Linked DNA regions of Notamacropus eugenii. The protein of the gene in region 1 interacts with the protein of each later gene in a biochemical or structural test. Links are inferred from orthologs where the notes say so. Each region holds a gene or a part of one and is shown on either strand. Other genes may lie near its edges.

The links.
Region 2: the proteins of GLG1 (region 1) and SELE form a complex in vitro, tested with the Homo sapiens proteins (2 studies listed by BioGRID and IntAct). The link is inferred for Notamacropus eugenii from reciprocal best matches to the Homo sapiens genes GLG1 and SELE.

What each region holds. Positions count from the first base shown.
Region 1 is NC_092872.1:713,602,272-713,613,837, reverse strand, and holds the start of GLG1 (Golgi apparatus protein 1), read right to left. Parts: upstream 4,387-11,566; 5' UTR 4,357-4,386; coding exon 3,931-4,356; intron 1-3,930. UniProt on the Homo sapiens protein: Binds fibroblast growth factor and E-selectin (cell-adhesion lectin on endothelial cells mediating the binding of neutrophils).
Region 2 is NC_092873.1:476,660,188-476,672,139, forward strand, and holds the start of SELE (E-selectin), read left to right. Parts: upstream 1-6,840; 5' UTR 6,841-6,953; intron 6,954-7,552; 5' UTR 7,553-7,585; coding exon 7,586-7,637; intron 7,638-8,053; coding exon 8,054-8,440; intron 8,441-9,317; coding exon 9,318-9,425; intron 9,426-9,575; coding exon 9,576-9,755; intron 9,756-10,413; coding exon 10,414-10,599; intron 10,600-10,716; coding exon 10,717-10,905; intron 10,906-11,952. UniProt on the Homo sapiens protein: Cell-surface glycoprotein having a role in immunoadhesion. Mediates in the adhesion of blood neutrophils in cytokine-activated endothelium through interaction with SELPLG/PSGL1. May have a role in capillary morphogenesis.

The DNA.
Region 1 (11,566 bases):
CCCTCCAGCAATTGGCCCACAATTGGTCCAGCTGCTTCCCACATCCCAGCTGTCTCATCTTCCAGTTCTCTTTGGAGAAGCAGAGGTTGAAAAAGCAGCTCTATTTTATGTAAATTAAGCAGATGTAGAAGGAGTCTGACAGAGTCTTCTTGTTTTGCGCATATTCTTGGTTTAGGACTAATCCATTAATTTATGTTCAATTCTAGGTGAAACAGTGGAGAGAGCACCTGACTGTCAGGAGATCTGGGTTCAAGTCCCAGCTGTCACAAACATCTAAGAAGGGTACTATTGTTTTCAGGGCAATAGGAATATGAAAATAAAACAAAAAACAAAAAAAAAAAACAGTCCGGGCACCAGGGAGTGTGCATTCTTCAGGAGCCTGATAAAACCTGCGAATCAATAAAGCAAAATTATCTGGACAGGGGCAGAGAACAATGAGCCAGATGAGGAAAGGATTTGAGAAAGGAGAAGTCACAAATCTTAGTGTGGAAGGAAGCTAAGGACAGAAAAGGCAGTGGTGACAAAAGCTGCCTCTGGGCATTCCAGACCTAGGAGGCGTTGGTGCAAAAGGATGGAGGTGGAAACCAATTCTGTGGTGACACTGCACAAGTCTGCCTCTCTAGCCTCAACTGATCATCTGCAAAGTGGGATGGCACCTGTGATCTCTAGCTCATCAGTCTATGAGGAAAAGTGCTTTGTAAACCTTAAGGCAGCATATACAGGTGAACTGTGATTATTATAAACTACTGAATATGCACTCTGAACACAGTTCTTGGGAACTAGACAACAGGCTGCAGAGGCCCTGAACCTTAGAATGAACTAAAGACCACAAGAGAGTTAGAACAAAGGCATCACACTTTCAGCCAGGCAAAAATCACCCAGTTAAAGGAAATATTTAAGAAAATAAAAACACAATACAACATAATGTGAATTTGTGGTTTGAACTAAGTTTGTCCTGACTCCAGGCCTGGTGCTCTATGTACTGTGGCACCCCTAGCCAGCTGCCCAACTAACTTCTCAGAGAGAAACTCTTTCCTGTGCAAGAAGGACTCAATCTCTAATGCCCTCTCATATATAGCAGGAAGGAAATTTGCACTTTATTCTTTATGACCATGCTTTGAAAAGAAGTCTTCACTTTCCAAAGCTACCAATCAGTCATCACTGTCATTATCATTATCATTTAACTGACTGACCCTTTGGTGAATTAAACTGCTTTAAAAATATTACTCATCTGAGAAAGTCTTAAAAAGATTCCCACTTAACACACTTTTAAAACTTTCAAAACAGAAGCTATGAAAAAGCCATAAACTAAACAATTCTTACTGAACATTAAGCACAGCTTCAAACTGTTCATGTACAGATTTCAAAATGTACTGCCACACACATCACCAGGCAGTTTTAAGTAACTGCGTGGACGCACAGAAGTAATTAATACATGGTATTAATCATTACCTTTAAGTATATCTAGAAATATAAACAACATAAATTTTAACATCCCACTAGGAAAAAGACAAACTAAAAAACTGTTTAAACTTAAGACTTAACCGGACAACTTATCATGCTTAGAATCAAAAGAAAACAGTGTGCATTCTTTTAGATTTAAATACTCTATGGATTCAGCACCTCTACCTCATAATTCTCATAAGAATTAAAAAAAAAACTTCCTCTAGATTTAAGTTCAAAGGAATTAAAAATGCTATCAGGTTCTTTGCCAAATGTTCCTATTCACAAAAAAATCTCCATTTCACTCTGTTCATAATTTTACATTTCATCTAAAGTACATGTCCTTAACCAAGTTGCTATCTTTCAGATGTATCGACCAGAGTTGATAAATTCCAGAGTCACATTAAATAAGATTCCATGTTGAAGACTTCAAAAGAAAACAGAAGGCAGGCTGTTCATGTTTTCTCAACTAAAGCAGCTTCAATTTAGAAGACATCTATTTCCACACTATTTCATGGATCCTCATCAGTCAATCAACAGCACTTACTAAGCATCTTCTGTGTATAAAGTGCTGTTCTCCATGGTCTAGTGAATTATTATAAATGAAAGCTTTATCTAGTAACTTCCTTTGGACAGCTCATACCACTTCTGTAAGAGGAACAAAATGAAGTCACATCCAACCTTTTTTTGTCCTGTCACCAAATGAGCTGATAGCCTACCAGGGACCAGGAATCCTTGTCTGGGATTCTTTCCACTTAAAGCAGGATTTCACTTACTGTGCCTCTTTAACAGATCCTATAATTAGTCCCATATAAATAGCCTGCCCTCCACCAGCACGGCTAACAGGGATTATAACAGCGACTGCTGGGTTTTAAACATTCCTACTGCATATCACGTAAAGCAGTATAGACACTGCTGGCCTGGGAGGCCCCAAACTTCAGCTCAAACACCCCCCTCTCCCTGTCAGCAGTGGGATCACCACAGCCTCACGCAACTCTAAGACGGTCAAAGTTATAAACAGACTGCAATCTGCTTTGGTGGAGGAAGTTCCCACACCAACCAAACCACAAGTCCTGGCAATACTGGCCATGTACGGGATTAGCACGCCCAGGGTGGGGAGGAAGATCTAAAGCTAGACAGAAAGGGTCTGCCTTCCCCGAGAGCACATACACACAAAATCCCCTGACCACGCGGAGCAGCAACAGCAAATACCATTAAGCGAGATGGAAATCGCAGAGTGCAGATCAGCTTGAGGAAAACCGGCTACACATCTCATGGCTAACGAAAAATTCCAAGAATCCTAAGGGAGCAGACCAGAGGATCAATGAAAATCTCAAGTCCATTGAATTGCTCCACCAGTCTCCAAACCTCTGCAGCTCCATTACTCGCTCGCAGCGACTCTAAACAAAAACAATCCCCGAAAAGCGAAAGGGGAAAAAAAATCACAGCAAATGCCAAACGTTACCAAGATCAAAGGAAAACATGTGCAATGTATTCTGTAACCGTCAAAGTGCTACATAAAAGGAAACTTTTTTATCCTTCTTATAAAACTCTAAACTTAAACTGTTGGAGAAAGACAAAATTTATCTAGGAATAAATTTCCTTTCTCTAAAGCTGTTGGTCAAAAAAACCCGTGTTTTTTTAAGCTGGACCTGTGATTTCGTTTGTGTCTGCATCCTCCCCTCCCAGAAAAGGGCACCTCCTCCGTAAGGCAGGGCACCCACGGGTCACAGTCCCAGCACTGCCCCAGGCACAGAGGAGTCAGTCAGGGGCCTCTCCTCCGGATAGCGCACAGTAGGGGATCAGACACCCCCATTTATCGGGGCGCGCTCTCCTGCCTCCCCACCGGCCCCGACCCAAGCTAGCGCCCCTGCTCCCGGGGCCTCCAGTAAACAGTCACTGCTAAGCGCATCGTGACCTCTGCAGGAAAGAGGAAACTCTCCGTACGGGCTGATTCAATCGCACCGATCACGGGCCGCCCGGCCATCGCCAAGCGACCGTCGGACAGCCAGAACCACATGTGGACGCCAGAGAGGGAGGCCGCCCCAAGATTACCGGGGGTCGACGGGCACCCTCCGAGGCGAACCCCACGTGCTTCCCTTTTAGGGGCAGCACAAAGTTACCGTGCTCGTGGGCAGCGCACCCAGAGCCCTTCCACACAATGCTCACCCCCAACGCGCCCCGGAACCAAGTGCCCCGGGCCCTGCCTTCGCCGCCGGCTGGGATGGGTCCCGGGCAAAGGCGCCCACCCCGCCGGCCTCGGTGTCCCCACCGCACCGGCTACGGGGTCCCGGCCCAGCCCCCGCACCGCGCGCACCAATGAGCGGCCGCGCCGCTTCCCGGGGTCTCCCCCGAGCTGTCACGGGGGAGGGGGCGCGGAGGAGCGGACGAGGCCCCCCGCCCGGGCCCGGGGCACAGGCAGGCGGCCGGCGGACGCGCGTGGGCCCGGGCCCGGCCCCCCGCCCCTCCCCGCGGGCGGGCGCTCACCTCCCGCACGTCCTGCAGACACTCGAGCACCGCCAGGTTGTTGCTCCAGGTGTGCTTGGGGCACACCCGGGTCACGTCCTCCCGACACGTCTCCTCCTCCGCCAGCTTCCAGCCGCCGCCGGGCCCCGCGCCGCCCCGCCGGGCCGGCCCCGCTCCGGCAGGGAAGAACTGCTGCTGCGCCTGCTGGGGCTGGGGCGGCTGCGGCGCCTGCGGCTGCTGGGGCGGCTGCTGAGCGTGCGCCTGAGCCGGCTGCTCCGGGGCCTCGGCGTAGGGCCTGTGGCCCAGCCCCGGAGGCTGGTGGAGGACTGCCAGGTTCTGGGGGTTCGGGGGGTTCTGGAGCCGCTGGGCCCGGGCCGCCAAGAGCAGAAGCAGCGGCAGAGCCGCGGACAAGGCGAACATCCTCCGTACACGTCCACACGCCGCCATCTTGGGTCCGCGGCAGCCTCGACGTACCGGGCGCCGCCACGTATTTAAATGAGGGGCGGAGCCACGGGGGGGGCCGTCGCCCCCGGCGAATGGGGGGCGGCCGAGCGGCGCGGGGGAAAGGTTACGGGGAGAAAGGGTGATGCCACATTCAAGATGGCGGCGCCTTAAGCGGACCTAGAGAACAGCGGGTTCTTCTCAAGTTTTCCTTTAATAAACTGAGGAAAGGAAGGAAAGAGAAGGAATGCCGAGTCAGGGTTGTGGTGGCTTCCCTCCGGCTTACTCCTTTGACTGGCGTCACTCGGTGCCTCTCCCAAGATGGCTGCCACGTCGCGCAGCGGCTTGAGTCAACATTCCAAAAAAAACTTTATGTGTGCATCTACGAACATGACAACCTAGGTCCTCCTGCCCTGCGATGGGGGTGGGGGGCAGAGAACCTCCCTGGACTCTCCCGCAAGCTGCCCCGCCCCCACTCCAAGGCACCTGCTCCAAGCGCTTTCGCTTCTGGAGGCTCCTGGGTCTCCTGCATCGTGGTGGTGCTGCTAAAAGTCTTAACAAGTGGCTTTTCTTTGGGGAGGGGTGGACTCGTTTTTGTCTTATTTTATTACTATTCATTTAAGTTCATTCTGCTTTATTTGCATTTTCTCCATCCCTTTCTTAAGTCTAGACAACACACAAAACCAGTAAATGACAATCCCCACTCTGAACATTTAACAATCGGCTCTTGCTCAGAAAACCCCAGAATCTAGACTTCCAGGCTCTTACAATAGCTAGCTTTCGTAGCCCTCTCTAAGATATTTACAAATATCTCACCTGACCCTGGCATCCATCCTGAGAGGCAGGTACTATGACTATCCCCATTTTACTGGGGAGGAAACTGAGGCACAGAAAAGGAAGTGACTTGACCAGGGTCCAACCGATGGTAAGATTTGGGAAATTATTTTAATTCAAGGTTTTCCAGCTCCCGAGTTCAGCTTTGTTCACTGCCAATCTGAGAGAAAATGCTGCTTTGGTCAGGACTCAAGTCCCTTCTAAAAGGCAAAGAGAAGAAAGGAAACGTGAATCAGTCCATTTCCCAATTTATCAGAAGTTTGGGTGAAAGAGATGGAATTTCAGTTGTCTACTCTCTATCTGTTTGCGGGGTTAGGAAACCAGGACGTTAGCCAGAATCTAGAAGGGTCTGCCCCCAACGAAGAGGAAAGGTAGCAAGATGTATAAAGTGTTTGGAAAATTACATATAGATCCATAGACATATAGATATATAGATATATGGTTGGTTGTCCTTCGTTCTCAGCGAGGCCATGATAAAGTGAAATTTCAGTGTGTACAACTGTGGCTGATCAGACCAATATGAGCTCAGAATGCTCTACCACAGGTTGAGCACAGACAATCCGTGTGAACATTTGGGGTGGTTACTCCAAATTTGTGCATCCTACGTTTCCTTTGTGCTGTCTCAATTCTGCTTTGCTCATAGAGCACAGCACCCTTTCTGATGTGGGCACGCCATGCTGAGTAGTCTCCCATGTTGCACAGTCAAATCCAAAGTTCTTGAGAGAGACCTTGAGAGAGTCCTTGTATCGTTTCTTCTGAACACCATATGATCGCCTGCCCCATGCGCGTTCTCCATAAAATAGTCTTTTGGCAAGCATACATTTTGCATTTGAATAACGTGGCCAGCCCATCAGAGTTGTGCTCTTTGAGGTATGGTTTGAGTGCTTGGCAGTTCAGCTAGAGCAAGGACTTCAGTGTCAGGTACCTTATCCTGCCAGGTGAGCCTCAGAATCTTCCTAAGACAGTTCAAATGGAAGCGATTCAGTTTCCTGGCATGGCACTGGTAGACTGTTCATGTTTCACAGGCATATAACAATGAGGTCAACACAACAGCTCTGTAGACCTTCAGTTTGGTAGTCAGTCTAATACCTCTTCTCTCCCAAACACTGAGCTAGCCCTGGCAATGCATGCATCAACTTCATTATCAATGTGTACATCCCTGGAAAGTACACTACCAAGGTAAGTGGTGATATATGATATCTATAAAGATAATTATAGATAGATATAGATATCTGGATAATGTTTTTTACCTATTTTTTTAATGCCATCTAAGATTTTGTGCTCCACATTCTAAACAGGTGAGATTCAAGACTTTGAACTTCAGTTTTGTCCTGCACCCATCAAGTGCTCAGTAAATAGACAATAGTATCAGGACTAAGGCTGTCCCTCATTTAACCAGTTAGGTAACTGAGACACAGAGAGGCTAATGGGCTTTGCCAGATCATGGAGTCACACTACCAGACAGTCAGTGACCAAACTGGAATAGGGAATCCAAGCCTCCTAAATTCCTAATCTCTTGACTTCTTCCATTTTATCACTTTTTCTGTCTCACCAGTTGGTTAATTAACATTATTTTGAATTTATTCATTTTTATTCTCTTTTTCTTCTTTTATATTTCCAATGCTTAAAGCAGTGCCTGGCACATAATAAGCTCTTTATCCATTGATCATTAACTCATTGTTCAAGAGACATTTCTTAAGTATTTACTATTGATGAGGCTGGGTGCTTTGTGCTGGGGAAGAAACCAAAGGAAAACATAGTCCAGACCCTCTACAAACTTATAATCTAATTGGGAAAGAATAAAATTGGTGGAAGTTTTGTTTACAGCTATAACTCCTTCCCCCAGACTCTGACCTGGGGCTACCAGCCACATCAGGGCTTCTCTGCCTTCTTGTCCCAAGTCCTTCTTCATCCTTTTCTCCCCAGTCTGTGGTAAGGGAGGTCATTCATTGGCCTGGAGAATGGTTAGAGCTGGCCTTTTTGTACATGCCTTCGAGATTATTGTTAGTCCTTCGTTCTTGAAGAGGACCATGACATGGGGGAGGTAATGCCAGGGCTTGCAAGTGAATTGGATTGAAGTGGGGCAGGGCTGGGCAACGTCCCCTGCCTCACTCTATCCTCCAGAGTCATTGGAGTCCGGTGGCAGGATATAGATCAGGACAACTGGAGAAGGCACCAGATGTAGTGGAAGACCTTGGTCTTAGAATGTTCAGGCTAAACGAGGCTTTAGATATCGACCAGCCCAACTTACTTTACAGTAAAGGAAACTGAGGATCAGGAAGGGAAAGCCCTTTTTGCTTGAGAACATGTCAAAAGCAGCCTCTGCTCTTTGCTCCATACCACTTTCTCTCCACGGTCATTATAAGCCTCACAATTCTAGAAGAGGATGGTGGTGACATTTTTTTGTTTGAGACTCCGGCTGGTAGGTTGATAAGGAGCTAAATCAAACAGCCTCTCAACAAGTTGGTAGCCTGCTCCAATCTGTTATTTTCCTCTCTTCTTTGTTGGTCCTGCTAAGATAGGAAAGTTCAGACAGCTTCTTGTTCTTATCTGCAGTGAAGATCATTGTCTTGGGTATATTTCCTTACTGCAGGCTGATAACCAACCTCTAGGAAGATAAGTGACCCAGGATGTTATGCTGAGTCTGTCCACAATCTCTCCACATCTGCTTGTTCATGCACACCCAGGGCAGTCATTGGAAATACCAGTCCCTGGGTAACAGTCTCAAGGACTTTTCGTAATCTTCACAGCCCTGGGGAGCCAGACAAGTCAATGACATTTATTTCTGACCATTGGACTCTGAGGTTTTCAACTGACTAACCTCAGTCAAACTTGTGTCCTCTCTGCTGGCAGTGACCCAGAAGAACTGCAGAACTCTATGAACAGAAATGGTAGGTAACCACAGTCTTAGGATTTAGAGCCAGAAGGGAACATTAGAAATCGTTGAGACCTAGACAGAGGCTCAGAGAGCCAGAGGTGATGCTGGGAGGGACTTGAGAGGTCATCCAATCCAATCCCCTTATTTTACAGAGAAGCCAGTGAGGCTGTAACTTACCCAGGAAGATACAGGTAAGCACCAGAGGAATAATTTGAATCTGGGTCAGAACCAGTGTTCTTTTCAACCCCTAAATTTTACAGTGGAGGAAAAAGAAGTCCAGAAGTTGTAGTTTTGCCCAGATGGTGGAGATAATAAGTAGCAGAGTTGAGATTTGAATCCAAGACCTCTGACCCTGAATCCATTGATGGAGAACTCCACATCTGGGAGTAAAGCATGTAAGACTCAGGTTTGTGACCATTCAAAATGTACTGAAAAGAAGTCAAACCTCCTGAGTAGTATGTTGGTAGTTGGCTCCTGCCCCACAGTGATTGACTGGCTCGATTCTTGCTCAATGCATTGTAGTTCTGCCTTTCCAAATACTGGCCTTGGAACTGCCCAATAATAAAACAACTGACATTACCAGAAATGCCTAGGGAATGTTGGTGCATTGAGTTTTCCCGTTAACTGAGGATGCCTCCAGAAACCCTCTGTGTTCTAACCTGTGTTGTTGAATTCCCTTCTACGATGCCAAGTCATTTTTGTGTCTCAGCAAAACTCAGTGTTTTGAACATGAGTGAAGTTCTGTTTTCTGAAGGAGAATCTTGTAGGACCTCAGTCTTCATGAGGAAAGGGGATAAAGATGTAAGAAACTGGGCTGAATCAGCACTGAACTCAGTGTATTCCCGGAAAGGTATTTTTGTTTATTTGTTTTTAATTACTCACTGACCTCAGATTGTTTCCTGGACAAAATAAATATTTGTTGGATGAATGAATGGCATTTCCTACTTTCCCCTGAAGAGAAGAAGCCAAAAAAAAATCCATTTAATTTCGGACCCCAATTAATTGGCTCTTGAGGAGACTTTATATTCTTACTCATATTATGGATCCCAGTCAGACAGTCAGTCAGTTAACAAGCATTTACTAAGGGACTACAATGTGCCAGGAGCCCTGGGAACACACAGAAAAGCAAAAACTAGTTCATACTCTCAAGGAGCCCTCTGTCTAATAGGAGAAAAAAATGTGCCAAAGACCATGTACAAGCAAGAGATTGAAAGGATAAATTAGAAGTAATCTCAGAAGGAAGGCACTGGATTTTTTTTTAAGCTTTTACAAAGAAAAATTCACTTCAAAAAATATAATCACAAATATATAAACTTATCCCCCCAACATATGGGAGGCATAATTCCCTCTATGCCCCCATACCACCTTGGTCTTGGGGGTGGAAAGGAGATCAGGTTAAGAGTGTAGAGCATGGTCCCTGTTCCAAATCCAAACCCCACTCATCCCCACCAGGTCCAGGTATCTGGCCATGGTGACCTTGAGCCAGGATTGCAGAAGGCATGCAGAGAAGCCTAGAGAAACCATGGTACCTGGGAAGTCACTAAATAAGGGGAATTGGGAAAGGCTTTTTACAAAAGGTGGCATTTTAGGTGAGAAATGAAAGAAACCCAAAGACTGAAATGAACAGGGAGAGAATCCCAGGTATGGGGGACCAACCAGTGAAAATCCTAGGAGTTGGAAATTAAACTCTTGTTAATTGAAGAGTTTTCCAGGGAACTGGATGCTAATGTTCATTCAAATGGAGTAAATCTGATGTTAATATATGTGTGTTTATGTATGTATGTATGTACGTATATGTATATATCATTGGAAGGGGGGAGCAAACTCATTTTAGGAAGTGATTTATTGGCTCAGTGTGGACCTGGTTTTAAAGGCAATTCAAATGACAAACATCTTTATCCACAGGAACCACGATACTACCTGATTCTAGTGCTTCTCAGCAATAATAATGGTTGACATTTTTATAACATCATACAGTTAACAAAGTTCTGTCTGTCTCCACAATATGCCTATGAATTAGTTCCTGGGGACTTAGGAAACAAATTTTAGTTTCAGATCTACCATTTCTAGTCTCTCCATTTTACAGAGAGGGAAACTGAGTCCCCATAAAGTAAACAGTTTTGTTCAAGGTCATGCAGTGAGTCTTGTGCTGGTATCTAGGACTAGACTCAGATCCCTGACTTCTCAGGGATTGTTTACTTAGCTATGGGAGCACTGAAATCCCCCAACTGAGGACCTGCATTTCCCCTGAGTCCCCAAGCCAGGTAATCAGATATTGGCATGGCATTTACTAATGCACTGTTATTTCCTCCCTTTGACTCCAATCAGGAGTGACTCACTCTTTGATGGGAAAGAAAGAGCAGTCTGTCTGGCTGATGATGTCAACTGTGCCCTTGCAGCGGAGCTCAACGGAAGCTGTTGGCCACAGACAACTCCCAAGGCTCAAGCCCTGTCTTGGATGATGGGGGCAAAGGTGCAGGCAGCCTCTGAGGAGCTTTGCAGACTTAGAATTCTGGATAAGATGGTGCAAGGCAGCTCCAAGAAGCATAGGGAGTGTGCTACCTTGGGAAGTAGTAAGTTCCTCTTTCCTGAAGGACTTTGGGTGACCACCTGTCAGGATATCAGAGAGATGACTGCTGCTCCATTTGGGCCAGAGGGCTTCTGAGGACCCTGCTTGGCTCTGAGATTCTATAATTCTGTGAAAATGGCTGTACTCACAAAGACAGCTTTTAGATATTAAGGGCTCCGTCTGCAGCATTCTAATGCCATTGTCTTTACCTTTCTTTCTTTTAAGCTTTCGTCAAAACTTACCTGTCTTGTATGTCAGGTTAGAAAGTATAGTTTTCTCTTTTCTAAAAGGACATGGAGTTTGTGTGAACATTCTTTTCTCATAGATAAATGAGAAAAATAGCCTTCCTGCCTTTCCAGATATTATGACTATATGCCAGGCACTGGGGCTACAAAGAAAGGCCAAAAAAGAGTACCTTATTCTCAAGGAGTTTGCAGTCTAATCTGACACCAGTCACCTTTTGGAGAAAGAGTATAAACCCAAAGAAATGACTCTAATGTGGTCTTTTAGAGATGGTAAAATATTTGGAGCTAAATGAATTCATGTGTTGTTTTTCAGATCATTATATAAGCAGTCTACTCGGGCAGCTAGCTCTGCCCCTGATTATATAGGAGATTAAAATAGAGACTCCAGCAGATTCCCTTCCTGTCCTTCCTTCCTCCAGCCTACATCATAAAGCTCGAGTTCTGTGCCAAGGGTGAGGAGGGCGGCCACCGTGGAAGCATGGTGTAAACATGTACGAAGAACTCTAGGCCAAGATGCACTTGTCCAAGGCACAGGCCTTGTGAATGATTAGCTGGGTAATCTGGGGCAAGCGATGTAACTTGACTTGCATCAGTTCCCTCTCTGGCACCCGGATTCTTTAGTCATTCTCACTTTTTGTTTTTCTCGTTTTCAGTATCTCCTTATTCACAGTCTCTAAACTCAGACCCTAC
Region 2 (11,952 bases), on another chromosome or scaffold:
CTATGAACCCATTACTACAAGTATCATATGCCCTTTGGTTGATTGGTGGTCCTTCATTAGAGACAAAAAATCAGAGGTTTTGAAAGGTTAAGTGAGCTGCTCATGAACACACAGCTAGTAAAGTGTCAGTCAGGTTTTTCTGGCTATATATTTAAAGCTCTATCCATTACATCCAGCTGCCTTATCCTGCTACCTGCTAGAGAGAGATGAATACACCAAAACTGTGTTAAGCCACTGAATCTCATAAGACTGAGTACTTCTACATATAATTTGTGTCTGGACATTTCCTTGCAATATACTTATTATACTTAAGGGTGTTGGGAGAGGGGGTATCCATTAAAAGGGTTGGATCTTACTGTTCAAAGCAGCTTCCACTAATGACACTAAGACCTTGATTAATACACTTAACTGTTTTGCTAAAAAGAAAATGCACCAGCTACGAGTATCTAATCTAATAGCTTGTGAACCTGGGCAAATCACTTAACCTCTGTCTGCCTCAGTTTCCTCATCTATGAAATGCAAATAATAATTGCACCTACCTCGAAGGGTTGTTGTCTTGGTACATAATGAGCACTATACAAATGTTAGATATTATTATTATATTTTATAATTTTATTATTATTAGATATTATTCCTATTACTTAGTTGCATAATTTTATATTAATATTCAGCCTAAATGCTTCATTCTAGAGAATAATAGACATCTCTGGACCAGAGATCAAAGGTCAAATATTTATCAGGAGAGATATGATATAATTGATCCAACTTAAAAGGAAGGTCATAGACTCTTAGAATGTTGGAGATGGAATAACCCAAGAGATCATCTAATCCAAACAACTCATTTTATGCATTTTATACAAACTGAGACTCAGAGAGGTGAAGATATTTGGTTAAGATAAAACAATAAATTTTTGATGGAAGCAGGACTATTGTATCATGCTGCCCCTTACTAATCAGTGTGCTCAGAGATTTGGAGATAATACTTTCATTATTTAATGACTAAGATCATGATTCAATTCAACTAAACACTCATTTATTAACTGCCTACTGTGTAACTGGTTGGCACAGAGCTGGACTTGTAACCAAGAAGCCCTGAGTTCAAATCATGCCTCAGACAGTTCATAGTTGTATGATCCTGGGCAAGTCATTTAATTTCTCTCAGCCTTAGTTTTATTCTGTGTAAAATGGAGATAATGACAGTACCCACCTCACAGTGCTGCTGTGAGAATCAAATGATATAAAATGCATCCAACCCTTTGCGAGCACTAAAAGTTGGCTGTTATATAAGTGGTATCAGTTCAAAGCACTGTGAGAAATGCTCAGGATACAAAGACAAAATTATGTAGTTGCTAACTTCAAGGAGCCTACATGACTATTCTTTTGGAAACTTGCATTTTATGGGGACATACAATATGGACCTGTGTAAATAAATATGAAGTCTGCTAAAAACTGTACAAAGTATTTGCAGGAGGGAGAAAGCAGTAATAATGTAGAAGTTGGCACCCGAGCTCTGTTTTAAGGGAAACTAAGATTTTTGTGAGGGAGAGGTGATGAGAGAACCACTGGTACAAAGGCATAGAAGTGGGAGATGGAATTCTGTGTCTAGGGAATAACTAACTAATAGTTGGTTTGCCTAGAAAGTGTGTTTGTCCTTCGTTGCTGAAGAGGACCATGCCATCAGAGAAATGATGACATGGCTTGCACTTGACTTTGTTTTGAGTGAGGGAGGGCTGTGCAGGTCACCAGCCTCACTTCTCTTCCAGAACATCTGAATCCAGTGACCAGACATTCATCAGGATGACTGGAGATGACTCAGGATGAGGCAATTGGGATTAAATGACTTGCCCAAGGTCACAGAGCTAATGAGTGTCAAGTGTCTGAGGTGAGATTTGAACTCAGGTACTCCTGATTCCTGCACTGGTGCTTTATCCACTGCGTCACCTAGCTGCCCCTACCTAGAAAGAAGACTTCCATAAAGGTGAATAATAAGAAATAAGTTTGAAAAAGTGAATGGGAGCCAAACTGTGGATGACTTTAAACATTTTACTGAGAAGTTTGTATTATATACTAGAGACCAAAGAAAATCAGTGAAAAATTTTGAGTAGAAGGCCTACATGTTTGATTCTATTTTTTAAGAGTATTGATTTGGCAACTGTATGGAGGACGGATTGGAAAAGGGAGAAAATGGAGGCAGAGAGACTAATAAGGAATCCGTTGAATAGTCAGGTGAGGAGTGATGAGGTCATGAATTAGAATGACTGTTATATGGTCAAAGAGAAGCAAATAGCCAAGGTGACCACAGTCATCATTATCACTCACGTGAAGGCTTACAAAAGTTGGCTTTTGCTCCTTGCACTTGACACTACCACTTACAGTAGGGCTGCCTTTCTTTCTTTAGCACTTTCTTTTAATTACTTGTTTTCTTTGTGATTAATTAAAGACACAGTAGGGTTAAAAGTAACTTAACGGGAAAGGTTTATTTTTTTTCTCATGAAATATCTAGAAATGAGATATTAATAGAACAGGAGGAGCTATTCTCTGGCCTGAAAACAGGCAGGCAAAACAGCCAAGGAAAACAAACAGGGGACTGATCTCAGCCACAGGGATTTTTTCCCCCTCAAAGACGACAATCTGGAAGCATTCAGGAAAAGTCCTGTAAATTAACCAACCTTCCTTATGTGGAAACACCTTCCGTTGTGGGAATTTACTGGGGCAACTCCTATGTTGTAGATGTATCCACTACTTTAGGCAGTCCAGTAGAGCTGAAACATAAGGAGGAAGTCTCAAGATAAGGGTCTGCCAGGGAGAAAGAAAGGAAAGTCATTAAAATGGTGAGACTGAGAATCATAAGGCAGCCTAAAAAAAAAGAGTATTGGGGGGAATTCCAGAGTTTTACAGTGTCAGGGAAGAGATGAAAAGAATCTACATGCCACGTGATAAGTGAATGGCAGGCCACTTCACTTTTTGTGTGTCATTTGCCTTATAATTCCCTTTTCTTTTTGCTGGAAAAATAATTCCTTGCCTCTTATAAACCATTGTGAAGATTCAAAACACTTATTTTCCCTAAGAGATAGTGAGCCATCAGAAGGCAAGTGACAGTGCTACTTTCAGCAGTCACAGGAAGTAATGAACACGAATTACCAAGTTATCACTGTTTGCAGGAATATGGTTAGAGAAGGTACCCGGTATCATCACGTTCATTTATTCACTCATTCATTTATTCATTCCTTTCACAATCAACCAACAAGCACTTAGGTAAGCATCTGCTGGAGCTGCAAAGTGAAAAATGAAGCAGTCCCTGCCACCAAGGATTTTGTACTCTCTTAGAGGAAGCAGCATACAACTTGGGTCTCCTCTCCTCTTCTTTCAGTGGAATTTCCTCGAATACTCTTTTTTTTAGGCTGCTTTATGATTCTCAGTCTCACCATTTTAATGACTTCCCTTTCTTTCTCCCTGGCAGACCCCTATCTTGAGACTTCCAGCTTATGTTTCAGCACTACTGGACTGCCTAAAGTAATGGATACCTCTACAACATAGGAGCTGCCCCAGTAAAGTCCTATAGTCAGGAAGACTCACCCTTGTGAATTTAAATCTAGCCTCAGACACTTCTTAGCTGTGTGACCCTGGGCAAGTCACTTAACCTTGTGTACCTCAGTTTCCTTATCTATAAACTAAGTTGGAGAAAAAAATGACAAACCACTCTACTATCTTTGCCAAGAAAATATCAAATGGTGACATGAAGAGTTGGACACAATTGAAATGACTGAACAAAAAATTTACGTTTCATATATAAAGAAAAGACAATGTCTGAAGTATAAAAAGACCTGAGTTCAAGTCGTACCTGTGACAAATTCTGGCTGTGTGATCCAGGTAGGGCATTTAACTTCTATGTACTCCAGAACTATCTAGGTTGCAGATCAAGGTGCTGAACTACATTGACACAAATTTTCTCAACTGGGTGAATGAAATTACAAGTCCAGTTCTTACCTCTATGTTAACAAACATTTACCGAGTTAATAAGTGAATGGCAGGGCAGTTCACTTTTTGTGTGTCATTTTCCTTATAATTCCCTTTAAGTTAGACACTGCGTAAACAAAGAGAAAATGAAAAGCAGTTCTTGACCTCAAGGAGGGCGTTCTACTGAAGAATAAAACATTTAAACAGATAAATCCAAGGCTTCTCCTGAGAAGTGACAATGGGTTGGGATTTGAAGGAAGCTAAATATTCTCATTGATGGAAAGATGGGGTCATTTCTACCTTCCTTCAAAAGAAGGAGTAGAAACACTAAAACAACTGGGAGTTAATATTAAATCAGAAAGTCGAAGGGAACTATTTATTCCCTACCAGATTTTCTACTAATTCAAGGTAGGCATTGGTGGCATCTTGATGCAAGGTGACCTGCAGGTTCTGGGAACTATTCTGACCTTAGATTTTGGTCAAATTTAATGCTTACTTTCCTTCCTTTTGGCAAATACAAGCTTTGAGTAGCTGATATATAGCTTCAAGCAGCATCTGATCTGGCAGATACGACAATAACATCTAACACTAAATCCAAGTCCATATAAAAGTCATCCCTGAATGATTCATGATCCCTATGAATACAATCTCTTACCCTGAAAATTCCTTTGTTTTTAAACTTCTCCCCATAAGTCACTTTCTATCCACTGTAGCCCCTGCTGTGCCATGGTGCCCTCTGCTGTAACCTAGTAGCTAAAGCAGCTGATACCTTAAGGTTCCCTCATTACAAAAAGTACCATAGGATCATTCATAGGTTTGCAGCTAAGAAGGATCTCAAAGGTCAACTAGTCTCACTTCCTAATTTTATAGATGAGGTTAATCAATTTTTTGAAGGCCACATAGGTTTATAGAATCATAGATTAAGGGCTAGAAGAGACTACAGAGTGCATCTAATTTAGCTCCTTTACTTTTACAGATAAGGAAACTGAGGCTCAGAGATATCAGGTGCCTTGCTCAAGGTCACCTAGGTTGTAAGTTGCAAAGCCAGGATTTGAGCCAAGATCCTCTTACTCCATAACCACTACTTTGTTTCTTAGGGTCCCCTAGCCTGGGGACTAGGAAAGACACCTGAGATCTTGAGAAACCATTCCTGATTTAATCACTGAGCTCTGAACATAGCCCTCTCATAGCTCCCTGTACCTATATTGTCTCAATTAGGGTTGCAACAAAGGGGAAAGAATAGACATTTACTCATTAGAAAGATAGAAAATGTTTATATCAGTTCTCTTTGTGGTGACAAAGAACTGGAAATTACAGGGATACCCATCAATTGGGGAGTGGCTAAACAAGCTGTGGCATATGATTGAGATGAAATACTACTGTGCTAAAAGATGATGAGCGCAATGATTTTAGAAAAACATGGAAAGACTTGCACGAAATAATAAAGAACAAAATAATTAGAACCAAGTAACAGAAATATTGTTTTAAGAATTATTTTGGGTGAATAAGTTATGTTTACTATAAATCCATAAATGAACTATAAAGAACATATGAAGAAAAATGCTGTATGGATCCAGAGGAAGAACTGATAAATAGAAGTATGTATAGAATAATTTTACATATAAATGCATACACACACGCACATTTTTATATATATATATATGTATATATATATATATATATATGTATATATATATGTATATATATATATATATGTATATATATATATATACACATATACACCTCTATTTGTGTCTAGTGGTAGCCATTTCAGGGGGGAGGGAAGAAAAATAGAAATTTTCATGATAATTTTGTTGTACACTTGAAAGGAATAGTAAATTGTACATAGCAGATTTGCAGCTTCATGCGCAATCATCTTTTTAAAAATTACTCTATGTTATTTCACAAATTAAAAATAAAACTTTGAAAAAGAAAGACAGATGGGATATTAGAACCAGCTCAGGACCTGACAGGGGTAGAGACTTGGGTGTGAATCCCACTTCTAGCATTTTTTTTTAAACTTTGTGACCATAAGCAAGTTACTCTATGTCTGTGAGCCTCAGTTTTCTCATCTGTATGATAGGGATAATTAATACCTGTGATAGTTCCCTTAGTGGGTTATTGTGAGGATCTAATTAAAATATACTGATGAAGTTCCTTGCAAACTTTAAAGAGTGGCACAGATGTCAGCTGTTACTAGCGTCAACATGCTGAAAATCAAAGAACAGGAATGGAGAGTACCTGGAAGTGTGTTTAGATGTATAATGCTTGTAAGAGTCTGGATATAGGACACTTTTTGATGCTGTCTTCTGTTTTGTAAGATTTTTTTTTGTACTTGCCTTTATTATACACATATAATAAAAGAGTACTGTTTTTTGTTATCCGTTTTAGTGCTTGTTTATAGACATACATTAGATATGCACTTTTTAGAGTTTTCAGAAAGACACTGCTCCTTAAAAACCCTTGAATTGGTGAGGTAGACAAAGAAAAGTAGATTTTGTTGGCAAAGTAGAGATAGCTGCTGATTCGAAAATCTCAGCTGGTCAGTCCCATTTGTCAGTCCCAAACTGGTCTGTATTTGCCTGTGTTTAGGAAGAATGGCTGTGTGTTATTTCTAATTCTAGAACTTACTTATTAGGCTATAGCAAATCATAGAATATATAAAACACATCAAAGGAATGGTAGAATGTAGGAGGGGTGGCAAACCTTGGGGAAGGAGTTTATTATCAGCACGGGATTGGTAATATTGTGGACAATCCCCGGAATCTTTCTTTCTTGGGAAATTCCCCACTTTCTAACTTGGTGACATCCTCCTATTATTCAACCATTGGGTCATGGAATTCCATAGGAAGTGCTGCCTTTAAAAGGACTCGCAAGCCCAGGGTGTGCTACAGTTCTTGACAGGCTACAGCCAGAGTGGGAAAGAGCTAGCTCAGTGTGAACAGCAAGACACCACTTGAGGAAATCGGGAGAGGAGATTACCAGATTGTGGAACGGTAAGTACAATTGACTATTAACTAAACCCTGTTCAGGATTCATTATAGGACCAAGATTCTGGATGGAGAAGGTAATCGGCCAACTTCTCCCAGGCGGATTTGTGTAATTTTCAGAGAAGCTAAAAGTCCAGCTTTCTCTCTGGTGCTGGATGTAAATTCAGAATCCAGTTTTTGATAACTTGTTGGAGGCTTTAAGGCTTTGCCTTTGAAGAATAACATGTAAAGCAATGTCTATCAATCTCATGGTTTCGTGGTTCTTTAGAGTCAACATCTTACCATATTTTCAAGAGGCATATTCTTTTATAATATTAAGGATAATGGGATAGCATAAGGTAGTGGATGGAGTGCTGGACTTGGAGTCAGGCTGGATTGGAACCCTGCCTCAAATACTTATTAGCTGTGTGACCCTGGACAAGCCCCCAGGAGTCTCAGTTTCCTCACCCATAAAATAGTGATTAAAAACAGAATCTACCCCTAGAGGGTTTCTGTGAGAAGCACATGGGATTATATATGTAAATCACATTAGAAACCTTAAAGAGATTTTAAAATGTCAATTTCATTTTAAAAATAAATTCTTTTCTTTTCTTTTTCTCCCAAAGAATTATTCCAACGCTAATACTGTGAAGAAAAGGATGGTTTCCAAAATGATGACTGTCTTGTCATTTCTACCTGGTCTCATCTTTGGTAAGATCATATTTGCTTGAGAAAACTGTTATCACTAATTAAAATGGGATAAAAAAACTCCTTTTGTATAGGGATACCCTCTGTAATGTCATTACTTGGTTCTGGGAAAATGTGATATTAGATCAAATGATATTACAGTGGGAAGCTGAGAAAAATTGCCTGGTGCCAAGGCACTGGGCAGAATTTCTAGGAATGAGGAGTCTTTGCTAATCTCTTTTCCACTCCTAGAAGGGTAACAAAAGTTCAGGTCACCCCAAAATCCCCAGGAAAATTCCATATTGATTCCTAAGCTTGCCCAACCATATGGGTATTATTTCAAGGGCAAAAACCCCAAACAAACCTATAAAATGAGGGAAAATATCTGTCAAAAGAACAGTATACTCACAGGATAAAACTATACCATTTCTTTTTTCTAGCATTTCTTCTGTTTGAAAGGAGTGATGCTTGGCTGTATGCCTCTTCTGAAGTGAATATGACTTATGAAATGGCAAGGAAATATTGCCAGGAAAGGTATACAGACCTGGTTGCCATTCAAAACAAGCATGAAATTGAATACCTGAATAGAACACTAAGATTCTCCCCAAGTTACTACTGGATTGGAATCAGAAAAATCAATGGTGTCTGGACCTGGGTAGGGACACAGAAGTCACTGACCGAAGAGGCCATGAACTGGGCTCCTGGTGAACCCAACAATAAGCAAAATAATGAGGACTGCGTGGAGATCTATATCAAGAGGAGCAAAGACTCAGGCATGTGGAATGATGAAAGGTGCACAAAAGAGAAGCTGGCCTTGTGTTATACAGGTATGATGAATTAGTTGGAAGAGATATTGGTAGAGTGAATGAGAGTAATACTTGAATAATAGCTATTAAAAATTCTAAAGAGTTTTAAGGTTTGCAAAGTACCTTATACATATCATTTCATTTGACCCTGAAGTACCTCCCTCAAAAGTTTCCTATGCTGAAAGAATGAGCTAATGTATGTAAATCTATTTGTAACTCTAAGTCTTAGGTGGTGCATTGGATGGAGTGGTGGCCCTACTATTAAGAAGACCTGAATTCAAATATGGCTTCAGGCACTTCCTAGCTATGTGACCCTGGGCAAGTCACCTCTCTCATCCTGTTTCTTCCTCTGAAAAATGGGGATAAAAATAGGACCTCCAATAATAGCACTTCTCAGGTTTGTTGAGAGGATAAAATGAGATTATATTTGATCTTTGCACACCTTAATGCACTATAGAAATGCAAGCTAGTGTCCTCCTCTTCCTCATTGCTTTCATTATCACTATCATCACCACAGTGTGTGCATGTGTGTGTATGTGTGTGTTTATGTATGAAGTGATGGTCACTGAGGTGGAGATATGTGTGTATCTGGTGCATTGAGTATCAATGTTCAGAGCCAGTGAGGAAATATAGTACCTTCGTTTTGGAAAATGGTCCTCTGCAATAGTGAACACCACCTTATGTGATTTTTTTGGTCTGAAATATATTAAAAATGAGATTCGGGAAAGGGGAACCTAAAAAATGTCAGTCTGCCCTCTTGACAGGCCCTTAAGCTAAAATAAAAAGCCCAGCAGGCCAACAGGATTTGGGTCCTCTAAACAGCCCTCCTTTAGCAAGCATTCTGATGATTCATATGAAGGACCTATGGCAGCAGCAGTGATGATCCTTTTGGTTTCAGCCTCCTGTAACAGCAACTCCTGCAATGGCCATGGGGAGTGTGTGGAGACCATCAACAGCTTTACTTGTCAGTGCTACCCAGGGTTCACCGGGTCTCAGTGTGAGCATGGTAAGACTGGCTCTGCCTAATCCATGTGCTCAATTCTTTCAACCTCACCTCATCCTCCTTCCTGTCTTTGGAGCGTGGTCTCCATCATATCACTTTCCCTCTTATATCAAAACGAAGAATGAGTCAGACTGATTTTGTTTTCTATCATAGTTGTGACCTGTGAATCTCGGGCCAATCCTGAGCATGGCGTTCTGGTTTGCAGTGATCCAGTGGGGTATTTCAATTCTTCCTGCTCTGTCAGTTGTGAAGAAGGCTATGTTCCAACCAATGCTAACTCTGTGCAGTGTACTTCTTCTGGAAAATGGAGCAGACCTAGCCCTACTTGTAAAGGTATTTCACTTTTCTTTGGTATAGAAAGTTTGGGGCCTCATTCCAGAATCCCTGTTTCTTATCCCACCTAGATTATTTTAGAAACCCTTTAAGAGCATAGCTCACTCTGTCTTCAGATATATACAGTCAACTCAGGAGTCAGAGTAATGCATGATAGGCCTTTGGCTTTTGAAAGGTGTACTGTATTCTATTTGAATAGGAATGATCCCCATGTTGTGGTTGTAGAATATTTGGGACAACAACAGAAATAAAACAACACTTCTTCTCCAGTCACTTCCTTTCGTTACGTATCCAACCTACTCCTCCATACTGGGAATAGATTATTTCATCTTTAGACTGATATAAAATGTTAGCTTAAAAACAAAGCCAATATTTCTACACATTTATTGGTTTGCCTCAGGGATAATTTCAATTTGACTTAGAATTCCTTCTCTTACAGTTCCTTTTGGGCTTGAGAAAATCAAGGTTCACTTTATGTTAGCAAAGTACAGGGACTTTGAATTGATAATTCTCAATGTAGATAATCAGAAATCACATATGAAAGGTTTAGTGTACTGTCCTCAAGACTCTTATTTTAGGGACTTGTAGGACTGTCCAAGTCCAACACAGAAGAACTATGCTGTTCTGTCAAATTCATGGTCTCACTTCTCATTTTTAGTGGTGGAGTGTGATGCACTGACAAGTCCTGCTCATGGATCCATGAATTGCTCCCAAAGTTCTGGAATCTTTCCATGGAATACAACCTGTGTGTTTGGCTGTGAGTCAGGATTTGAGCTAAAGGGATCCAAGAAGCTTCATTGTAGCTCATCTGGGAAGTGGGACATGGAGAGACCAACGTGTCAAGGTAAGATGTCTTAAAATCAAGAGGCAATTGAAAGGGTTGGTTCTGTAATGTATTATTAAAGGGGTCAAAGAGAAGGCTAATGGGAATGATGTGTGTGTGCTTTTCTGTGTGCTTCAGCAGTGAAATGTAATGCTCCCAGCCAGCCCCACCATGGCTTTGTGAAGTGTGTCCATCCGCCCACTGGAGACTTTACCTACCAGTCAGTTTGTAATTTCAGCTGTGAGGAAGGCTTTGAGCCAAAAGGATCATCCCTGCTCGAGTGTACGGCTCAGGGGCAGTGGACACAGAAATTCCCAACCTGTGAAGGTAGGACCAAATTTCTTTTAACATGATAACATGACAGGTTGAGTAGCTTGAAATGAAGCCAGGCACCTACTTGAACTTCTGAGATCAGATTCAGTGGGCACTGTGAGCCCCACTTGTGTTTAAACCAGTTAATTAGCTCTAGGTATAAAGCTGGTCTAACCAATTTCCCCCCAAGCAGTCACAGAGCATCAAATAGTTGTTCTTCACCATTGAAGAGTAGCTTATTCAAATGAGCTTGTGCTCCATTATTGGCTACATGCAAACATCACAAGATTGGTTCCTATTTAGAATGTCATAGGTACATGCCAATAAGAGCTATGTCTTATATAAGTTGGAAGATGGGGATAATAAGATAGAAGAGGCAGCAACATTAATGTGATAGAAATAATAGTCTCTGAGATCCTGCCCAGCTCTTGATTTTAAAATTTATGAAGTGTTTCTGTCACAATACTAGGCACAGAGTAGACACTCAAGTACATGTTGAGTGTAAATGCATATTTACATATTTTCCAATAGAAGGACAGAGACCCTGAAACCTAGCAAGTCATATAAGAATTAGCAAACTCATCCTGGAGTGCCAGAGGTATCCAGAAAGAAGTGTTTGTTTCAGAGTCATGCAGGCAAACAATCAGGACCCTTGGTAAAACTTCAAAGTAAGCAAAAGTTCTCTTTGGTGTCCACCCACCTCCCACAATGAGCTCTTCTCTCCCTCCTACCACTACCTCCCTCAGTCTCTCCAGGTTCCTAGATCCCCAGTGCTTCCCTTTGATTGTCCAAAGTCTCCTCCCCTTCCCATCCCTAGCTTTCCCAGTATATCAGAGGAACAACAAATCCCACTTCTGAGAGGTTGGTATCTGCGCCTGCCCAGAATTAACCTTATTGAATGGATGAAGGAAGAGAAGGGGAGAAATAAAAATTAATTCTCTCATGCATTCAAGGAGAGGAAAGAATGCAGATTTAACACTAAAATGCTGCTACATCTTCAGACCACTTTTTAGGTCCCTCATCAAGCTGTTTTGTTCTATAACTCCTCCCCAATTACTCATA